Linked DNA regions of Drosophila melanogaster. The protein of the gene in region 2 interacts with the protein of the main gene of each other region in a pairwise test. Each region holds a gene or a part of one and is shown on either strand. Other genes may lie near its edges.

Region 1 (2,898 bases), on a different chromosome or scaffold from region 2:
TTAAATGTATTCTTTTTTAGCGTCACTTTACCGTGCTAGTATCCTGCATCCTGATAGTTATATTGCCATGCGTGTTAGGGGCTCACAGGACAGCTCTCAAGAGTCATTATAGAAGCTTTGTGAAACCAAAGCAGAATGTCATACGGGCTAGAACCAATCAAACAACACAACTTACATTAGGAGACTATACGGAAAACTTTTATAAACACTGCATGGATATTTTCAAAGAGAAAAACTTGGTTGGTAAAGTGATCCATGGCATGATCAGTGGAATTTTAGACAGGCTCAATGAAGTGTGCCTCGACAAGCCCATTCACCCACTTATCCACAAAGTTTTCACGGAAATCCTTCTCTGTGGCGGAAGCATGTCGGATGCAATCGATAGCGTCATTGACATATTATTTGGAAATTTGGAAAGAAATTGCAGGGAGAGGCCTGGATTCAATAGCTATTATATTTTAACCAGTGCGGAAAACGAAATAGTTGAATCAAAAGGTTAAACAACAATCTGAGAGCTTATATATTGATGTAACCAAAATAAAATAATTAGGGGTAGCACTAATACCTCTTATAAGACAATATGTTATACCATGTCTTAATATAATGTAAATATTACTACAACGATATTTAAACAATGATTCTTTTAAGAAACTCAAGAAACCAAACTACATCCAAATATTATTCACTTGTTTAAGATTCACTATGCAGATACAAAAGTCAAATCAATTCCGGTCCAGTTCCTTCAATGGTAGTCACATTAAATTTGGCTCGGCTATTCGTTCTTCTCGACGGCAAACAATTCAGAGCCAGGGGTCAAGTTTTTCAGAAATTGCACAGATCTTGCGAAGCGATCGCCCGCTGCATCCACGCTGGGAAGAATGGCCTCCAAGAGAATGGGGACTACTTGCTCGCCTACGGATTGAAAAAGCTCAGCGATCTTGATTATGGTGGCCGGATCTGGCAAACCTGGAATAACCGCTCGAGCCGATGGCGTGTTGTCCGTATTCACCTCGCGTCGTCTGCGTCTGCTTTCCTCGGAATCCTCGACTGTTTCCTCGGAGGAGGAGTCATCGTCGTCTCCATCGTCATCGCCCTCCCGCTTGATCACCACCTCTGTCTCCTCGCCAGCAACTGTGATCACATCCTGATGGCGGATTGAGTTATGCATGTTCGAACTGATTATACTCGTCAATCACCTGCGGCCTGGCCTGCGTTTGGGTCACCATCTGAAGCATCACCAGCAGGAATCCGGAGAGTAGCAGCTGTCGTCCCATGTGAAAACCCATTTTGTCAACTTGGTTGGGGCTTACGCACCGGCCTGCCATATATATAGCTCCCAGTTAATAGGCTAATGACACTTGCATGTCTCTTAATCGGAAAAAGATAATATGCAGGGTAATGCAGCAATTGGTCAATTTTGGTGTGGCCCAGCTAAACCAATTTGAGTTCTATTCGGCAACCTTGTGGAGTCGGCAGACTCTGACTCTCCAAACACCCGGCAACTCAGCATATTTGGGCCTGGAATGCGCCGACGAGTGCAGTTTGCTCTGCGCTGGTGGCTGGCCACAAAACCCGGTCCACCAACTTGGCTTTTGGTCAAGCGAGAGAGCTCAGGTAAGCTGCCACGCAGACAGGTAGTTTTTTTGGGCCCGGCTCAATCTCAATCGCCGCGAGCCATAAATCGTACTTACGCACACGGAACGCGTTTCTTTCACAGGTATAATTAAATCAAACTCGAGGAGCGGTTCGGATTGGGGCTGCGCCTCTGGGGGCGATGCACTGCCAGAGCGAAACTGCAACTTTAGTTGCGAATCAGACCTCTTATTGGGCAGGTCACAGTGCAAAATACAAGCCAGTGCCAAATATCTCATTTATTGTTTATAGTTTTATTAACAGTCTTTCAAAAAAGCTAAGGGTATGTGTACATATAATATTTTTTAGTGTGTGCCAATACATACCTTGTTACAATGTTTTATATTTATTCGATCCCAATTATCATTATATAATTGTGAGCTGTAACTACAAATGAATTGGTATAAAATTACAATATTTCTTTAAGAGCTTACTTCATCAGAAATACATATCTTCAATACAATACTTAAGTAAAAATTGGTTTTGGGCTAGTCTGTTTGAAGCACAGTAATTTTCATTAATATAAATTAAATTCTTCACTATCTCAGGAAATCACCACTGCCATGAACCTATTCTCGCGCTTGATACGTTTGGGAGGTGGGGCCAGCAAAGTAAGTACATTAAATTCAAATATCTCAGCATTTTAAGTGATTAAAAATATTGCAGAGCTCCGTTACGCTACCAGCTCCTGGTGAGTTTTTCTAAGCTAACAGTTCAAATTTCCCGCCAATCAGTTTTGTAGCAACGAGCATCTGTAAGACAGCGTAAGTAGGCACTGAAAATCGCCGAGGTATTTTATAAAAATATGGAATAAGGTATGACCGATGGGTAGATTAATTCCTGGTAAGCCCGTATTCAATCTATAAAATATTTTACATACCACACAAACGAGGCATTTGTAAGGAATTCTTCACCGCGTTCATTTCGCTAATTCTTGCTGCGGTCTATTTTAGGCGTATGTGATAGTACAATCAACGCAGCTGCTGAATACCCACCCGATTCCACGGAGGTCTACAAAACTATAGCCGAAGATACTTTTGTGGCAGCCAGTTCGAACCCCGAAAAAGGTAATTAAACAAAGAAATTGTGTCTACAGCTGGGGAAAAATGTATGGCTGACGTAACAATGCGTCGAATTTTCACTGGAAGCACTCATGAAAATGTATCTAAGTATCTATATTTAAAAGTGTATATGTGTATTTTTCATGAGTGGCTGGGGTCGTGGTGGGCGTGTGCTTATCAGTACGCGGGAGATAAGAAGAGTATA
Region 2 (3,758 bases):
AGTCGATTTCGTACAGGTCATCAACCAGAGCAATCTGAGGATTTAGTTTGTTAGGGAATCAAAAATAGTTGCAATAGAAAGCTCACCAGTATGTGAACGCCCTGTTGCTCGAGTTCCAGACACGTTTTCGACAGCACCAGCAGTAGATTGGGTGGACTGGAGCTGGAGGCATCTCCGAAACCACACATCACCTTGGCAATATGACGTAGGAAGCCAATGAGTAGGTTCTCCCGAATGCCCTCTACGCACAGGGCGCCCTTGTGTTCCGCCTTGATGTTAAACGACCAGTCGGTGCGCAGGAATATAAGCAAGTCCTGCAGTACACCCTTTATTTTCTCCACCATGGACACATAAAGGTTGCTTATCAGATCACCGAGATTGAGACCAGCAGCTGCATCGCTCTTGGCAGAAACCAGCGACAGACGAACCGCACTCAAACTGTCGGCAAAGTGATCTTTGAGGTTTTTGGCATGGGCATCGCATAGTTGGTGGGCAGCCGAAATAATGATAGATACTGTGTTGCGTTGGACCTCCAAGCCGCGGCAGATATTTCGCATGGCCTGAAGGCGCCGATGAAGTCGATCCAGAGCGCGTAGCATTACCTGGGTATCGCCGTAGCCAATGTCGGACTCAACACGATCCTGGACGAGTGTCAGATACTTTTCGATGTTCTGATTGAGGAAGACATTTAGCTCCTGCAGGGCGTTCTCCTGAAAGTCATCGCTGAAAATGGAATGGATAATAAAACTCAATTAAGATTATACAAAATATTGTTCAATTTACCGCTCATGCTCGTAGTGCTTGGCCACAAACATGTCAAAGTAGGAAGTCACTACCAGTGCCAGATCGTTGAGGAAACCATCGATGCCCATGTCCACAAACTCCAGCATATCACGCTCTGTTTGATCCTGCAGCATGACGATTTGCTCGTGCAGTCGTTTGCCAGCGCAAGTCAGCATTTCGCTTGCCAGATCCGAAGTCTTTTCGTCCAGCTGCAGGAGTAGCTCTCCAATTTCCGTCAAGGATTGGGCCGTGTTCCCAGCCCTTTGAAAGTCACTTCGCAATTGCTCCTTGAGATCTGCCATGATGGCGTCGCAATCTCGCTGGATTCCATCGAAGGACGGCTGTCGACCGTACTGGGCGAACACCTTCTGGGCATGCAGGTAGTCCTGGACAGCTTGTGCGTAGTTCTGTTCCTCGATGAGGGACTTCAGTTTAGCTGGCAGAGTTGAGAGAAACTGCAGCCTTTTGAGGAGCGAGTGTTTCTCGGACAGGCGACATAGTTGCGATCTGGTGCCCTGCAGCGTTCCGGTTATTTGCTCACTAAAAGTCGTTATGGATTGCATCTTGGTCATCAGTAGGTTCACATCCGTTTCCATCTGCTTGAAGTCATCTTTCATCCGGCGAATTGTATCCGTGGCGGAGATGAATTTGTTGTAATTCTCGTAGACCAGCGTCTGCATATCAGAGTGCAATGTCTGTGTGTCCTTGACCACCGCCGCCTCCGTATCCATTATTTGCTTTAAGGAGCAATCCTTTATTTGTGAGTAACAGCCAGAACAAAAAGTGCATAAGTTAATGATTATTACTTCACTATTTTGTTGTTCTTACCTTGAGCAACCTTTCCAGATACTTTTCCGCATCGAAGCTGGAGCTGTCCATGTCGAAGGGATTGGCTTTGGTTTCAGCCATTTTGTAGAACTTTTTTTTACCACTAGTCTAAATAAATAAATAAACTAAATGTTGTGAACTTGTTGTTGCTGAAGATTTATCGTTTTTTTCGTATATCGATAAGTTAAGGTGTGTTGGGCAACGAAAAATGTTTCCCTCATTTAACAGCTGACTACCAATATTGTTATCGATATCCAATACCGCCACACAATCATTTTTTGAACGGTGCGCGTTTAGCAACTTTTTATTTTAAATTAAATAGAAATATTATTATATTATTATTATATTATTAAGTGAATAATAATTTAGACAGTTAAATGTTAATGCAGAATAGTACTGCTATGGCATTATATTGAAAGAATTTTAATTTTTAATATTTTTCTGAGTATTTATAAAGTTAGTGTCTTTATTAAATATATTATTTTATTATCTTTTTTATTGTTTTTTCTTTTTGTTTTTATTTTTAGGCACATAGGTGTGTGATGAATTGGTATTAAATCGTGAGAGACGTGAACTGAGATTATCTTAGTTTGCAAAGCTCTCTGTCATTTTTATTCTAATCGCGGCTTTGTTATTGGGAATCTCCCATTTCAAACTGATAAGAAAATACTTGTTTGTTTTTCATAAATGGCATTAATGTAAAAGGTTTTATTAAAGCAATCACAACATGAAGCTATTACTCTTTGTTTCCGCATTAATTGCAGCTCTGTGCAGCTCATTTGTGACTGCTGGTTAGTAACAACAAAATGTTAGTTAACTAATGTACCTAATTACTTAAACATTTTGTAGATTGCTTAACGGACCCCGTGACAATGCTGTGCATTTTGGACCCAAATCATGGCAAATAACTTTGTATATCACCTGGCTCAATAAAGCACAAAAGTAGAACACGATGTGGGCTTCTGTATCCTAAGTAATTCAACAGTCTCCCCAGACTGAGTTACGTGTGGCAAATCGCATTAAACATTCCACGCCCACCGCCTCCACACTACCAGACATCTTTTTTGTTAAGGTCTTATACCCTGTCGTTGGGTATTTCGAAACTGCGATTAACTATGTAACGCTTATTGAAAGATATATTCTTCTGAATTCTGAATTGCCCTATGTTACAGTTTTAATATCTTTTAAACATCATTAAATCATTTTTTGTAATGGGTATTTTCAGTGTCGTGGCATAAATATGTAGCAGTTGTTTGTACTTCTTGGTGCGTCCTTTTTTATTTCGGTGGGAGTTCGTCTGCCCGCTGGCGACCGTGTCAAGTTGAATGAACATGGACAAGTTTTTGCCACATTCCGAGGGCCTAAAGTTCCCTGTGCTGCTGTATCTCGCATCTGAGTCTCGCTTTTCGGCTGCTGGCCCTGCAGCATTCCCCGTAATTTTCCCACCATTCGCACTATATTTTATCCTGGGCTCCTTTCGCTCTCGTTCCTTTGTGGCGTCTCATTTCAAATACATTAACATTTTGACCTTTCGCAAAAAAGTTCGAGCTGTTGCCGGGGCCGAATTTAATTTCGAGTTGTGTGCAGATTGTGCAAATCACACGCTCTCCAATGCCATCAGCCTCCAAACTTGTATCATGTGCACTGAGAAAAATGTATAGCAATGAGGAGTTTGATGAGGATCCTAATTCGCAACACACTATGCTATTATATGTTTGTAATGAATAACCATTATTCATATTCCAAATCATTTCTATGATTGAAAACTAAAACTTTTAATTGCAATGGTCTTCTTAAAGGTTAGACAAACAAAAAAAGAAAAGACCGACAGTGGGACAGTGTGTCACACACTCGCGCTTGTGTGTGGCATGAACTTTGCTTTCATCAAACTGAAAATTGAATTTACGTAAGCCGAGCGAAATATAACAAAAAAAAAAAGTGAAAAGCTGAAGGACGTGAGGGCGGCGGAAAGCGTCGAACGTGTCAAGGTCAAGTTGCCATTGTCCCAGGTTTTCCACACCTCACTTTCTCCCCCACCCCACTCCTGCTCCCCTTCTCACTTCTGCGTGCGGCACAGAGAAAGCTGTGCACACCACCCACGTTCGGCCCACTAATATGTTTTGTGCAGTTTGAAGTGCGCCAAGTCG

The links. Proteins that work in one complex are often made in the same cells at the same time.
Region 1: the proteins of Vps51 (region 2) and Os-C interact in a two-hybrid assay, tested with the Drosophila melanogaster proteins (one large-scale study listed by BioGRID).

Annotation. Positions count from the first base shown.
Region 1 is NT_033777.3:7,977,363-7,980,260, reverse strand, and holds Os-C (Os-C), read right to left. Parts: upstream 1,303-2,898; 5' UTR 1,287-1,302; coding exon 1,197-1,286; intron 1,145-1,196; coding exon 773-1,144; 3' UTR 647-772; downstream 1-646. Other genes in the region: Sfp84E (seminal fluid protein 84E), read left to right, coding at 21-500; CD98hc (CD98 heavy chain), read left to right, coding at 2,196-2,243, 2,299-2,323, 2,586-2,699.
Region 2 is NT_033778.4:18,709,084-18,712,841, forward strand, and holds the start of Vps51 (vacuolar protein sorting 51), read right to left. Parts: upstream 1,783-3,758; 5' UTR 1,693-1,782; coding exon 1,612-1,692; intron 1,536-1,611; coding exon 784-1,535; intron 724-783; coding exon 87-723; intron 35-86; coding exon 1-34. UniProt on the Drosophila melanogaster protein: May act as a component of the GARP complex that is involved in retrograde transport from early and late endosomes to the trans-Golgi network (TGN).